2 linked regions of the Anolis sagrei genome follow. The protein of the gene in region 1 interacts with the protein of each later gene in a pairwise test. Links are inferred from orthologs where the notes say so. Each region holds a gene or a part of one and is shown in the gene's direction. Other genes may lie near its edges.

What was found. The genes of interacting proteins can lie anywhere in the genome.
Region 2: the proteins of RALGDS (region 1) and RAP1A interact in a two-hybrid assay, tested with the Homo sapiens proteins (3 studies listed by BioGRID and IntAct). The link is inferred for Anolis sagrei from reciprocal best matches to the Homo sapiens genes RALGDS and RAP1A.

Annotation. Positions count from the first base shown.
Region 1 is NC_090031.1:18,838,889-18,846,504, reverse strand, and holds the start of RALGDS (ral guanine nucleotide dissociation stimulator), read left to right. Parts: upstream 1-4,132; 5' UTR 4,133-4,348; coding exon 4,349-4,456; intron 4,457-7,616. UniProt on the Homo sapiens protein: Functions as a guanine nucleotide exchange factor (GEF) activating either RalA or RalB GTPases and plays an important role in intracellular transport. Interacts and acts as an effector molecule for R-Ras, H-Ras, K-Ras, and Rap.
Region 2 is NC_090024.1:199,233,860-199,242,322, forward strand, and holds the start of RAP1A (ras-related protein Rap-1A), read left to right. Parts: upstream 1-4,957; 5' UTR 4,958-5,253; intron 5,254-8,463. UniProt on the Homo sapiens protein: Counteracts the mitogenic function of Ras, at least partly because it can interact with Ras GAPs and RAF in a competitive manner. Together with ITGB1BP1, regulates KRIT1 localization to microtubules and membranes.

The DNA of each region.
Region 1 (7,616 bases):
CAGTGACTACAACTCCCAAATGTCAAGGTCTATTTCCCCCAAACTCCATCTGTGTTCATATTTGGACGTATTGAGTGCTTGTGCCAAGTTTGGTTCAGATCCATCATTGTTTGAGTCCACAGTGCTCTCTGGATGAAGGTGAACTACAACTCTCAAACTCAAGGTCAATGCCCACCAAACCCTTCCAGTATTTTCTGCTGGTCATGGGAGTTCTGTGTGCCAAGTTTGGTTCAATTCCATCGTTAATAGAGTTCAGAATGCTCTTTGATTGTAGGTGAACTATAAATCCCAGCAACTATAGTATATATCTAAACTGTTGTAAACCGCTCTGAGTCGCCTAAGGGCTGAGAAGAGCGGTATACAAATAAAGTAAATAAATAAATAAATAAACTACAACTCGCAAATGACAAAGTCATAATTTTTTGAGCGATGGTCACTCCTTGTATTGTGAGACGTTTTGTTCCCAAATTTGGTGTGATTTCGTTCATTGGTTCTTTCGTTTTTAAGATACTCATAATGCACAGAGCATTTTTATATATGTAGATATGAAACAATTTAAAAACCTTGAAAGGTGTGTCTTGAGAAAAAACAGGCCTTTGAGTTTTTCTTGTGTATCCATTAAAAAACATGTTGCGGTGGCTCCACCAAAGGGAGCGGCTGTGGCCGGAGATACGAATAATAATAATAATAATAATAATAATAATAACAATAATAACAATAATAATCCCATGCTGCGTACATTGAGACAATGCAGAGAGTTTGAGTTTTCAATCTGGTCAACAGCAAAAAGCAAGCACGTATGGTCTTCTTCCATTCCAATCGCTTCCTGTTTGTTTATTTCTTATTATTGCTGGAATTTTCCTCTTTTTTGTTTTATTTGTCGGATTTGCTTCGGATAAAAAAGCCGCATTTCTCATTTCTTTGATAACTAAAACCGGCGTCTGTGTGGGGTTGTTCTGGAGCCCTGCTACTTGACGCCCTCGCCCTGCTGCTCGGCCTTATTAGCCTTCTTGAGTCCCTATGTGGAGAAAGGCAGGACAGAAATTAAGATAATCAACATAATATAATAATAAATAAATAAACAAACAAACAGCAGGTTTGATAAGCAACTGGAAAAGGTGGCACGAGACGAGGATTTAAAGATCGAACTGCAAAGACTCTGGCACAAGCCAGTCAAGGGGGTCCCAGTGCAGATCGGCACACTGGGTGCAGTGCCTCAAGACCTTGGCCTACACTTAAAAACAATAGGCAGTGACCAAATCACCATCTGTCCGCTGCAAAAGGCCACCCTACTGGGATCTGCACACATTATTTGCCAATACATCACACAGTCCTACACACTTGGGAAGTGTCCAACATGTGATCCTATACAACAGCCAGCAGAGTGATCTTGTTTGCTGTGTAACAGTCTTGAGTATTAATGGAGCTGCGGGTGGCGCAGTGGATTAAACTCTCCTGCCGGCAGGATTGCTGACCGACAGGTTGGAGATTCGAATGGGGAGGGCAGAGGAGCTCCCTCTATCAGCTCCAGCTCCCCATGCGGGGACATGAGAGAAGCCTCCCACAAGGATGGCAAAAAACATCAAGCATCCAGACAACGTCCCCTGGGCAACGTCTCACACCAGAAGCAACTTCCCAAGTCACTCCTCACACACACACACACACACTCCAGCCAAATATACATACCCTTCCATATGCTATCTATATATGTGTGTGTTTGTGTGAAATTCCCCCTCTTTGATATACAGGCCCCAAGTTACAAACAAGAGAGGTATGTTAAGTCTGAACCGGTTCCTTTATGAAGTGGCACTCCAGCCAAATCTATATCATTAGCTTTGGATGGCATAGAGGTAGGTGAGCTCCCCTGTGCCTCTGTTCAGAAGGTTCCTCCTGGCTTCCCATCCCTGTGAGAATGTGCCAAGATTGGCTTGTTGTTGACGCAAGGGCTGAGGCGAAGCTCCAGCGGAGACCTGCAGGCCACCAGCGGGAAGGTGTTTTCCTTCCTTCGTGTTGATGTGCTCTTGCCATCCTCAGGGGCCGTGCAAGCCCTTTCCTGCCGCAGCGGGCCCCCGATTCTGCCCCGTGGTGCGTTCCCCCGTTGGCACAGCAACCACACATCCGTCTGTCTCCATGGAGATGGGAGTTGGGTACCCACGGCCTCTTCCTCCGGTTGTAGTGGCATCCTGATACAGGCTGTCCCTCCCCGAGTTTCAAATGACTCTTAGTTAAGACCAGTGAGAAAACAGGAAAGAGGAGGAATCCACCCCTTGGAAGCAAGGGAGATCCACTCCAGAAAGAGTAATCCTTCTCAGCGGGGAAAGGGTTCTTCCGGGATTCTTGATCATATATGTGTGTGTGTGTTGCTGGAGCTACATTTATTTATTTATTTATTTATTTATGTAATGTTATTGTTATTCTTATTGGGTTACTGTAATTTTTTTGGGCCGTCTGGTCATGTTCCAGAAGCATTCTCTCCTGACGTTTCACCTGCATCTATGGCAGGCATCCTCAGAGATTGTGAGGGGATTTTGTCAGCGCCGATTGTGTCCAGGCCAAGATCTTGAGGCACTGCGCCCAGTGTGCCGATCCCCACTGGGACCCCCTTGACTGACTTGTGCCAGAGTCTTTGCAGTTCAGTATTTCAATCCTCATATCGTGTCAGCTTTTCCAGTTGTTTCTCTTCAATCCTGCTTTCACCTGGGATTGCAACATTCATGATCCAACTATGGGTTTTTTTGTTTTTGTTATTATTATTATATATTTTATTCTGGAATTATATTATTATTATATTTTATATTATGATTGGTAATGACTATAGGAACGGAACAATGGAAAACGATATTGGATTGTGGTTTGGACGATGAGACGACACTGAATGGTTTTTGTATAATGCTGGATTGTGAATTGTTTTTATACTGTGTCTTGAATGTTGTTGTTCCTCTGTTGTACACCGCTGTGAGTCGCCCCCGGGCTGAGAACAGCGGTATATAAGTAAATAAATAAATAAATAAATATTTTTACTCTAGCACCATTATTATTGTTTTTATCATCATCATCATTATTATGGGAGCATTATTATTACTATTATTTTGTTTATTTGGGCGCATTATCATTATTCTGTTTATTGGGGGACATTATTATTATTATTATTATTATTATTATTTGACTGACATAAAAACACAGTATGTCACAGCAAATCAGACATATATGCCGGATTTCATATTATTATTATAATATTTTTATTCTGGAATTATATTATTATTATATTTTCACTCTAGCACCATTATTATTGTTTTTATTATCATCATCATCATCATCATTATTATGGGGGCATTATTATTACTATTATTTTGTTTATTTGGGCGCATTATCATTATTCTGTTTATTGGGGGACATTATTATTATTATTATTATTATTATTATTATTTGACTGACACAAAAACACAGTATGTCACAGCAAATCAGATATATATGCTGGATTTCATATTATTATTATTATAATATGGAACAATGGCTTCAAACTACAAGAGAGGAGATTCCATCTGAACATTAGGAAGAATTTCCTGACTGTGAGAGCCGTTCAGCAGTGGAACTCTCTGCCCCGGAGTGTGGTGGAGCCTCCTTCTTTGGAAGCTTTTAAGCAGAGGCTGGATGGCCATTTGTCAGGGGTGATTTGAATGCAATATTCCTGCTTCTTGGCAGGGGGTTGGACTGGATGGCCCATGAGGTCTTCCAACTCTTTGATTCTATGATTCTATGATTATATTTTTTATTCTGGTATTATTATTATTATTATTATTATTATTATTATTATTATTATTATTATATTTTTATTCTAGCATCATCACCATCATAATCATCATTATTATTACTATTATTATTATCGGGCATTATTATTATTTTGTTTATTTGGGGGCATTATTCTGTTTATTGGGGGATATTATTATTATTATTATTATTATTGTGTGTGTGTGTGTTTGCACCCCACTTTCTCTCTCTGCAAGGAGACCCCTTCCTCTTCCCACCCATTGCCAGGAGAGGAGAGCCTGTGCAAAGAAGGGCAGGGTGGTCTGCTGAGGGGTGAGGGGTGGGCTGCCTTTCCTCCCTCCCTCCCAGCTGCCCCTCCCCTCGACCCCTTTCCTGCAGCCCAAGGGGGGTGTGCGGTTGCGGTTGGCTCTGCTTCTGCTGCTGCTGCATGCGCATCCTGGCAGCAAGCGGGAGAGCCTCCTTGGGAGACCATGCCCAGCAGCAGCAGGGGGCCCCCTGCCTCCCTGTTCTTGGTTGAAGCCCCGTTGGAGCAGGGGAAAGGGGGAAGCCGCCGCCACCGCAGCAGGAGCAGCAGGCAGAGATGGAGCCCAAGCCTTTGTTCTGCATGCAGAAGGCGCTGGTGCAGCCCTTCCAGATGTGCATGCTGGACATTCCCCTCAGCCTCCAGCACAGCCAGGAGGAATACTATGTAAGTAGGATTTGTGGCAAAAAGGGGGGGGGGATCCCCACACACACAGGCACGCGCACGCTCACCCCTCCGTGCCCCCACCCACCTATTTCACCTGTTCCCACACTCAAGGGTCTCCGCTGTGGCTGTTGCCTTGGCTCACAGGTGCTCCGGCCTTCGAGTATTATTACTATTATTATTACTGTGGGGATTACTATGATCTCAGTGGACACAGCTGCTCTTCTTCTTCTATTATTATTATTATTGTTATTATTGTTATTATTTGATGATCTTGGTAGACACAGCTGTTCTTCTACTATTATTATTACTGTTATTATTATTATTACTATGATGATGATGATGATCTCAGTGGACATAGCTGCACTTCTATTATTACTATTATTACTATGATGATGATATGATGATGATGATCTCAGTTTACACAGCTGCTCTTCTACTATTATTACTATTACTATTATTATTAGTATGATGGTGATGAGGATGATGGTCTCAGTGGACACAGCTCCTCTTCTTCTACTACTACTACTACTACTACTATTATTATTACTATGATGATGATGATGATGATGATGATGATGATCTCAGTGGACATAGCTGCTCTTCTATTATTACTATGATGATGATGATATGATGATGATGATGATGATGATGATGATGGGGGATATGATGATCTCAGTGGACACAGCTGCTATTCTACTATTATTATTACTATTACTATCATTATTAGTATGATGGTGATGAGGATGATGGTCTCAGTAGACACAGCTCCTCTTCTACTATTACTACTACTACTACTACTATTATTATTATTATTATTATTATTGCTATGATGATGGTGATGATGATGATCTCAGTGGACATAGCTGCTCTTCTATTATTATTATTATTATTATTATTACTATGATGATGATGATGATGATGATGATATAATGATGATCTCAGTGGACACAGCTGATCTTCTACTATTATTATTACTATTACTATTATTATTACTATGATGGTGATGAGGATGATGATCTCAGTGGACACAGCTGCTCTTCTACTATTATTATTACTATTATTATTACTATGATGGTGATGAGGATGATGATCTCAGTGGACACAGTTGCTCTTCTACTATTATTACTACTACTACTACTACTATTATTATTACTATGATGATGATGATCTCGGTGGACACAGCCATTCTTCTACAATTATTATTATTATTATTATTATTATTATTATTATTATTATCTTGGAGGACACAGCCATATCTGTCATATGCAAGGCTGGGATGGGCTGGGGGAGGGCTAATCAGTTGAAGGTTCGAGGGTTGAATGCAAAGTAATGCCTCCACCTTTGTAACTCCTCAACAGATGGCAGTACTGGTATGCGGCAGGTACTGGCTTGTTCAGTAGACTCTCCTCTACAGTTCCATTTTGGCAGGAAGCCTTAGCATTGAACGGTTGTGTTGTTAAATTGCGAAGTATGGAACCCTGCGCAGACGGTCAGTCAATGCAACTTAAGCAACATGCAGTCATTGAATTATTGACAGCAGAAGGTGTCACCTCAACATCTTTAAACTTACTCGCCCAAAGACAAACAGTACTCACGTCAACACAATCCCCATAAACAGCTTGAATCCTCTGATGAATCTCCTTTGGGGGTGACATCTAGGAGTTACAAAGGTGGAGGCATTACTTTTCATTCAACCTCGTAAATCCAGGCAAGACAGAGGTCCTCCTGGTCAGTCGGAAGGTGGATCAAGGTGTTGGATGGGGACCCACTCCCCCTGAAGACATAGGTCTGCAGCCTGGTCCTGACCCTGGACTCATTGCTGAGCTCATTGCTGAACCAGGAGTGCCTTTGCACAGCTTGTGCACCAGCTTGTCCCTCGATACGCCAGACCTGGCCATGGGAGTCCATGCCTTAGTCACATCCTGCTTGGACTGCTGCAATGCTGTCTATGCCTTTGAAGATAGTTCTGAAACTCCAACTGGTTCAGAGATTGATGGCCAGGCTGCTTGCTTACTTACTTAGGCGATCCCTTGTAGCTCGAGGATGATGGTCTTCCAGATGTGGTGTCTTGGCGGTGGGTCTGTAGGTGGCTGTGGAGCCCGCAGTGAGGACGTCGGTTTCCAGACAGAAGGTGGTCCCAGTTGGGGTTGGCTTGACGTGCCTTCCTCTTGGCACATTTTTCCCTTTCGCCCTCCATTCGTGCCTCTTCGAATTCTTCAGCACTGCTGGTCACAGAGCGCTCAAGAGCCAGAGCTTCCCAGTTCTCTCTTGGTGTCTATGTCACAGTTTTTGAGATTGGCTTTGAGCCCATCTTTGAACATCTTTCCCTGTCCACTAACATTATATTTCCTGTTCTGGAGTTTGGAGTAGAGTAACTCCTTTGGGAGACAGTGATCTTTGGGTATTCGGACAACATGGCCTTCAGTCCAGCAGAGTTGGTCCAGATCCATCATTGTTTGAGCCCACAGTGCTCTCTGGATGTAGGTGAACTACAACTCCAAAACTCAAGGTCAATGCCCACTGAATCCTCTCAGTATTTTCTCTTGGTCATGGGAATCCTGTGTGCCAAGTTTGGTTCAATTTCATCATTGGTGGGGTTCATAATGTTCTTTGATTGTAGGTGAACTATAAATCCATCAACTACAACTCCCAAATGTCAAGACCTATTTTCCCCAAACTTCACCAGTGTTCACATTTGGGCATATTGAGCATTCATGCCAAGCTTGGTCCAGATCCATCATTGTTTGAGTCCACAGTGCTCTCTGGATGGAGGTGAACTACAGCTCCAAAACTCAATTCCCACCAAACACTTTCTGTTGGTCATGGGAGTCCTGTGTGCCAAGTTTGGGGTTCAGAATGCTCTTTGATGGTAGGTGAACTATAAATCCCAGAAACTACAATTCCCAAATGGCAAAATCAACCCCCTCTCCAAACCCACCTGTATTCAAATTTGGGCGTATCGGGTATTTGTGCCCAATTTGGTCCAGCAAATGAAAATACATCCTTCAGATCAGGTATTTTCATTATGATTCACAACAGTAGCAGAACGACAGTTCTGAAGTCGCAACGAAAATAATTTATCTATCTGATTTAGCTATGGCTTGCCATCTGTCAGGAGGGATTGGATGGTGTCTTCCTTGCCTGGATGGCTTCTCTGATA
Region 2 (8,463 bases), on another chromosome or scaffold:
TGGTGACCTAATTGTGGCCTAATCTACAGATGAAGGTTGACTGAAACAATTTTACATTTCCATGAGTAACCATATATTCTTCATTAACATCTGTTCGACTGTTCCATTCATTTTGGCAATGACACAGAATTTGTGGTATATGGAATTTGTGGTATTTCTGTTCACAAGTATAATATGGACTGGAATGTCTATTTTTCAGCTGCCTTTCTTATATTAGTTATTAGCTTAGTTCTGTGTACTTGCATTATATTATTATATTGACATTGTTGCATTAGTTGATTTCTTATCCCCACTGTTTTTTTGTTGGTGCTGACTGAATTGTGCCATGCAGTAATCTAATATTGACCACAGCACTACTGTTTTCCCTTACCGTTGGCAAGAGAAAGGGGACAGAGAGCCCAATCGAGAAACCTTTACTTTGGAGTAGTTGGATGGGGCTGTGGACAGGAAGGCTAACTGAAACTGGGGCCCCTTCCACACAGCTGAATAAAATCCCATACTATCTGTTTTGAACTGGAATATATGGCAGCGTGGACTCAGATAACCCAATTCAAAGCAGATATTGTGGGATTTTCTGCCTTGATATTCTGGGATATAGGGCTATGTGGAAGGGCCCTTGGAGGCAGCCTTGAAAAGGGGAAAAAAAAGAAAAATAAACCTGCAACTGAAGAGCAGATCTAATTATATATTATCTATTCACACTTTCTTCCTTGATCTGTATGGTGTTAGCCAGAAAGACACTTTCACATCTGTTTTTAAAAGCAATTTTATTATTCAAGGCTTCCAAAGAACTGCAGTCTCTTTTTCCATCTTCAAGCCATTTTTACAATCTTGCTGCAGCATTTGAATAACTTTATGGTCATTTATGATCTACTGCTGAATACATCTTCAACTGATTTTATTAATGTACTAATAAAAGTTTGACATGAGAACACCACAAATACATGAGACAAGGAGGGGGAATATAGTGTATGACGAAGACGAAATCCATCCCAAAAGGAACATAGACTTAATGGTGAATTATAATCAAGGGCCCCAAAGACTAAACAACCCCAATATGTGGTTAACATTTAAGGTGACATACTAAATGAGACATTGTGGAAGTTGCAGTCCAAAAAGCTCTAACACAAACTGGGGGCCCTTCCACCCAGCTCTATATCCCAGAATATCAAGGCAGTAAATCCCACAATATCTGCTTTGAACTAGGTTATCTGAGTCCACACGCAGATAATGTGGGATTTTCTGCCTTGGTATTCTTGATATAGGGCTGCATGAAAGGGCCCTCATTTAAATTGTTGGGACATAGGTTCACCGTGTCTGACTTGTTCCATTGATTTTTGTGGGTCTACTCTAAGCACAACTGTAAAATATCCAATATTGTCCTCCCTTGCATCAACAAGATTGCAAGTATTATTTGTGTCATCTGTTTCCTTATACATGGCAGCAGTCATCCTTCATTCTGTGCTGTTAACAGTCAATAACACACTTTTTGTTCTGATAAGGAGGGAGTGGAGTTCTGTTTGCTCTCTTATTTTAGTGTAGATTGTTATTCCTATGCTACTTATGCCATCTTCATTGCTTGCTGTGGTCTTTACTTCAAAAACAAAGCAAAAGGATACCATGTACACACACTTAAAACCAGGCATTTAAAAATCCTGAAATGACAGTAAGCTCTAGAAATGGTCAGGGATATTTACCAAGACATTTGCAGGAGTTCTGAGAGAGCATTTTAATACTTCTTTAAGATGAAGATCCTCTTTGGAATCCTACCTATTTCCTGCACAAATTCTACTAAGAGCTTAAAAATAGGGTTTAGAGAGGTCTGAGTGATGTCTTTTTTTGTCATTCTGTGCCTTATGTCCAGCACTAAACCGAACTATGCCTGACTTTTGATTTTTAGAATATATATGTCTATTGTGTATTATCTTACACAATAGCTATACAGTTATATTTATACCCCATGTTTTCTCCAGTAAATCAAAAGAAATGTATATATATCGCTCTCTTCCCCACTTTTTATTTTCACAATAGTGATCCTGGAAGGGAGAGCAGGCTGAAATCAACTGGTCCAAGTCACTATGCAAGTTTCATGACTAGAATTTCCCAGTTAACACTAAACCATTTCCAGATCCTCCACCTAGGATCTGGAAATGGCAGTGCATATGCTGGTAACCACAGGTATGTGATGTCAAGAGGAAATCTTTACTTATTGATTCTCATGGAGGACCTCATCGCACTAGAGAACCAATCCACTTTAAATCTGGTTTCTGCCTCCTGCAGAATTCTGGGGTTTGTAGTTGAGTGGGACTGTTAAAAGCTCCCCCTTAAACTACAAACCCCAGAATTCTGCAGGAGGCAGAAACCAGATTTAAAGTGGATTCATGCTGTAGTGCAGGCATGGGAAAACATTTTTGCTTTGGGGCTGTATTATGGGCTCAACCAAGATGGCCAGGCTGGGAGGGAGAGGGCCTGTAAGAGGGTGGGGCCGGGGCAGGGCCTGGGTCAACCTAAGGTTGTCCTCTTGGCATAGGGATGCTTGCCCCTTGTGCCATAAGGATGCTCATCTCATCCTTGTGCCGGGAGGAAAAAAACAGGTGGCAACTGCTCCGATACTCCTTCCTGATCTTCGGGCTGTCCTCCGGAGCATTCTGGAGGTCTCTTAGCTGCTACATGCCTTCCTCGGGCCATCCTCTCAGCATAAGGATGGGACCACTCACACTGTCCTTATGCCAGGAGGGCAGGACATGCTGTGGCTGAGAGCACTCCAGAGGGATCTCAGTTGCTGCATGCCTTCCTCCCCTGTCCTTTCTGCATAAGGATACAGCAGGCCACCATGTCCTTATACTGAGAGGATAAGGAAAATGAGGGCCTGAAGTGGGTGCCCAGGGAGCCGTATCCAGCCCTCAGCCTTTAGTTTGCCCATTCCTGCTCTAGTGTGATGAGTCCAGGGTCGTAACTGGGGTGGGGGTGGGGTAAGAGTTCTAATTTCGCAAAAGGGTTCTAACACACACCCCTCCCCGAAACCTGGTTTACTCAAGAATTTTAAATGGTTAACCAAGTTATGAGTAAACCAGGTTTCTTTTGTAACCTTTAAAGATCTAAACAGTTCTGACCCTGATTACCTGTCCGAATGTATCTCCTGTTATGAACCATCGCGAAGTCTAAGGTCATCTGGAGAGGCCCTGCTCTCAATCCCACCACCAACGCAAACGCGATTGGTGGGGACGAGAGACAGTGGCTCCCCGTCTGTGGAACTCCCTTCCCAGGGACATCATACTGGCCACCTCCCTCCTGTCTTTCAGAAGGAAACTTCGACTAGCAACAAGTGGAAAGAAGACTCAGGCAACCCAGGACAATGAATTGACCCAGATTTGGATTTGGTTTTTAAATGGCATGTCTAATCAATTGTTTTTAATTAACTGTTTTAATGTATTTATTGAAATGTTTTATGATGGTGATGGCACTGTATGGTGCTTGTTGTGAGACTGCTCTGAGCCCCCCAGGCCCCCCTGCAACGGGGGTGAGAAAGGAGGGGTATTGTTGTTGTTCATTCGTTTCTGACTCTTTGTGACTTCATGAACCAGCCCATGCCAGAGCTCCTTGTCCGTCGTCACCACCCCCAGCTCCTTCAAGGTCAATCCAGTCACTTCAAGGATACCATCCATCCATCTTGCCCTTGGTCGGCCCCTTTTCCTTTTTCCTTCCATTTTCCCCAGCATCATTGTCTTCTCTAAGCTTTCCTTTCTTCTCATTATGTGGCCAAAGTACTTCATCTTGGCCTCTAGTATCCTTCCCTCCAATGAGCAGTCAGGCTTTATTTCTTGAAGTATGGACTGATTGGATCTTCTCGGTGTCCAAGGCACTCTCAGCACTTTCCTCCAACACCACTGTTCAAAAACATCTATCTTCCTTCGCTCAGCCTTCCCTATGGTCCAGCTCTCACATCCATAGGTGACTATGGGGAATACCATTGCTTTAACTATGCCAGTGTGATGTCTCTACTCTTCACTATTTTATCAAGATTGGTCATGGCTCTCCTCCCAAGAAGTAAGTGTCTCCTGACAGGCCGGTAGCCAGGATTTCGATTGGGGGGGGGGGGGGGTGAGTCTGAGTGAAAGAGGGTCTACCCCAGCAAACCTTTTGTATCGTTACCCCAATACCCCCGTGCATATGGGATATATTGAGTATGGTGATCAGATCATGATATGAATAAACATAACAGTTTAAATAATGCACCAGTAAGGCCTTTTCGCGAACCACCATGAGAATTTCGGGGGGGGGGGGGGCTGAAGCCTCTCACCCCCCCCCCCCCCGGCTACAAGTCTGTCTCCTGATTTTCTGGCTGGAGTCTGCGGGATATAAATCTATGAAATAAATAAATAAATAATAACATGGCACATTTCAGGGTAGGGTTGAATTTTACCCCCCCCCCCCCCCCCCCGCTATGGCCCTGGATGGGTCTCTTATTATTCTGCAAGTGACTGCAGTCCATCCCTTGGAGCCCCGCCTCCTAACTTTTTCCCTGCTGCGTGGAGAGAGAAGAGGAAGAAAAAACACACTCTTCCTATGCTCAGAGGCGATGAAGAAGACTCAGCATTAAATCCCAGTGGTTCTTTCCGGCTGTTCCAAGGTGCAGGAATCCAGAAATCCATTCTGGGAGGTGGAATGACCACAGCCTTGGGAGATTAGTCCTGCCGCAGCTGAAAAAGGAGCAAAGCCAAGCCGACAAAGGAGTAGTGCTGCAATACGCAGAAGGAAAGGCAGCTCTGTCCGGTGAGGACGTTTGTCCCTAGTTTCCAGCCACGAAAGGAGACGCAAAGAGGGCAGTGGAAAGGGACAGTTCTTCCCCACAAGCAGTGGAAAGGGGCAGGCTCAGCGTTGGAAGCGAAGCCAAGGCTGGGCCAACCCCCGCCCCGCTTGCTCGCTCGCTTGCTTCCTTCCTCTTGCTCTCCAACTCTTTGCTGGCCCGCCTTTGCGCGCCCTCGCTCCTCCTTTTGCCGGCTCCTCCTCCTCCTCCTCTTTCCCCGATCGCAGGCAGGAAAAGGGGGGCCGAAAGGAGGGAGGAGGAGGAGGAGAAGCAGCCACTGACGCGTCCTCCCTCGGCTGAGCTTCCCGCAAAGGCAAGGCGCCGAAGAGCCGGAGAGAAAAGCGAGAGCAACCCAGGCGCTTGGAGAAAGCCAACCAACTGGAGACACAGACGCACACAGAGAGGAAGAGGCTGCGCGCTGGCTCCCGGCGATCAGCAGCAACGGGGTGAGCCAAAAAAGGGGGCGAATCCGTCTCTCCTGCCGGGCCCAGCGCTTCTTTCTCCGCCTGCCAGGCCGAGGGGCCCGCTTGCTTCCCTTTTTGGCTCCTAGCCCGGCTGAAGAGGGCGCGGGTGGCTCTCTTTCCCGTGCGCAAAAACTGGGAGGAGAAGGAAAAGGAGGAGGAAGGCGCGTCTCCGAAGGGAAAAGGAGGGAAGGAGGGGGAATGGTCCCGTTGGGGGGGGGGGCATCTGTATGCATCTGTGGGTCAGAGACACCCGCAGACACTTCTCTGGCTTGGCTCCAAGCGGGCTGTCAGCGCGTCTCCCTTGCCGAGTCCTCCTTTTTTCCCCTGGCTGCGTGTGCGTAAAATAGCCGGAGGCAGCCAGGGAAAAAAAGGAGGACTCGGCAAGGGAGACGCGCTGACAGCCCACCCGCCTGCTTCCCTGCCAAGAAGGAGTGCCCACCAAAGAGTCAGCTGTGTGTCTGTGTTGCAATTGTGGCTCTTGAGCCAGATCTGGCCTCCAGCCTCCCTTCCCAAGGAGAAGCCACGCTCCCATTCTTAAGAGAGTGCCTTTCTTGGGATCTGGCACCGCGCACAGAAAAGCCACGTTTTCTCCCTCGGTTTCCTCCTCTCTTCCTCTCTCCCGGATTGCCTTTTGTGTTGGTGGACTTCTCTCCCAGGCTGGACGGGAAGTAGGACCTTTTCTGAAACCCTTGGGAGTGGCCAAAGGGGAGCCAGCCACTCACTGCTGGAGTGTTTTCCAACCCTGCGCCAAAGGTGGAAGGGATGGGCTCCTCCTCGAAGACTAACTCTGCTGCTTCCCAGTTTTGGGGAACTTCAACTCCCAGAATCCTTGGTCGTTGGCCAAAGCAGCAGGGACTTCTGGGAGTTGAAGTCCTTTGTGTGTGTGTGTGTTGCTTTCTTTTTTATTTTCTCTTTATTTGCTGTCCATGCATGCTCAGGGCCCTTCCACACAGCCCTCTATCCCAGAATATCAAGGCAGGAAATCCCATGTTATCTGAGTTATCAGGGCCCTTCCACATAGCTGAATAGAATCCCACATTATCTGCTTTGAACTGGGATATATGGCAGTGTGGACTCAGGTAACCCAACTCAAAGCAGGTATTGTGGGATTTTCTGCTTTGATATTCTGGGGTAAAGGGCTTTGTGGAAGGACCCCCAATTCAAAAGCAGATATTGTGGGATTTTCTGACTTGATATTCTGGGATAAAGGGCTGTGTGAAAGGGCCCTCAGAAGGATATTCTGGAGATCTATGTGTTGTCGAAGGCTTTCATGGCCAGAATCACTGGTTTGCTGTGAGTTTTCCTGTCTTTATGGCCATGTTCCAGAAGCAATCTCTTCTGACGTTTCACCTGCATCTATGGCAGGCATCAAGAGAGAATGCTTCTGGAACATGGCTATGCAGCCCAGAAAACTCTCAGCAACATAGGCACCTTCCACACAGCTGAATAAAAGCCCACATTATCTGCTTTGATATTGGAATATATGGCAGTGTGGACTCAAGACCCTTTCATACAGCCCTATATCCCAGAATATCAAGGCAGGAAATCCCATATTATCTGAGTGTGGACTTTGGGCCCTTCCACACAGCCCTATATCTAGAATATCAAGGCAGGAAATCCCACAATATTTGTTTTGAACTGGGTTATTTGAGTCCACACTGACACATATTACAGTTCAAAGCTGATAATGTAGGATTTTATTCAGATAACCCAGTTCAAAGCACATATATTGTGGGATTTTTTAATTATTTTTTTTTTGCAGAAGGCCCCCAGTTGATCAATATCAGTGTTTAGCAAACGTTGGTTTTCCAGTGTTGCCTTTCCTCCATGCCCAGTGTGGGATTCTAGGGACGGTTAATCTAGGGGCCCTTCCACACAGCCCTATAACCCAGAATGTCAAGGCAGAAAGTCCCACAATATCTGCTTTGAACTGGGATACCTGAGTCCACACTGCCATATATACCAGTTCAAAGCTGATAATGTTGGATTTTATTCAGCTGTGTGGAAGGGGCCTCTATCAGTGTGTTCCCAACTCTGGTCTTCCAGGTGTTTTGAATTCCAACTCCAGAGCAGATAAAAGTCCAAAACACCCGAAGGACTGGGAGTCACAGCTTTAAAGGATTTAGCATGGCTGGGCTTTTAGCTTCTAATGGGCGTAGTGCAGCACAGGGCCCTTCCTGACAGGCCCTATATCCCAGGACCTGATTTTGTTTATGATAGATTATTTGGCAGTGCAGACCCATAATCCAGTTTAAAGCAGAAAACATGGGATCAGTTCCTGGGATATAGGGTCTGTCTGGAAGGGCCCACAAACTGTTTGACTTCTTGCTAACTTGGATCTGTTGGAAGTTGTAGCTTAAGTTGATGGATGATATTATTATTTTTTGATATACAACAAGATTAGTACACAGCAAACAAGATCACTATGCTGACTTTTGTATTCGATCACATGTCGCACACTTTCCAAGTGTCTAGGATTGTATGATGTATCTGCAAATAATGCGTGCAGATCCGAGTAGGGTGGCCTTTTGTAGCTGATAGATGGTAATTTTGTCAGCGCTGATTGTTTTTCAGTGCAGGCCAAGGTCTTTAGGCACTGCACCCAGTGTGCTGATCACCACTGGGACCACCTTTACTGGCTTGTGCCAGAGTCTTTACAGTTTGATCTTTAAATACAGGAGTTTCCTAGCATCACCTTCTGGGTATGGTTCTTGAGGAAGAAATGGAGCCATTGTAAAACATTGCCTCCCATTCCCCTCCCAGCGAGATGGTACTCAGAGAAGGAATTCTTGGGAAATTGGCACAGTGGCCATTCTGCTCTGTAGTCTCTGTGTGGTATATATACTTGACGCCCCTTATTCATGGATTGTGGTAGATAACCACAATTTTTACTTACCCATATTACAGAATATGTTTGTGAACTTCTCTGGGTTCTCCAACATGATGCTGGTCCAAATGTAGTTAAAATATGAGATGTGTCATTATCCATGGTTTTAGGTATCCTTTAATTGTTTGTGTGTCCCCTTGGCGATATAGTGCTGGTTATAAATAAAGCATTATTATTATTATTATTATTATTATTATTATTATTATTATTATTATTTTACTGGTTCCTGAGAGGAATTATAAGTCAATTCAATCAATGGAAATTTAATGATTCTTGAGACTTGCTATGTGGAGTTTAATTCGTAT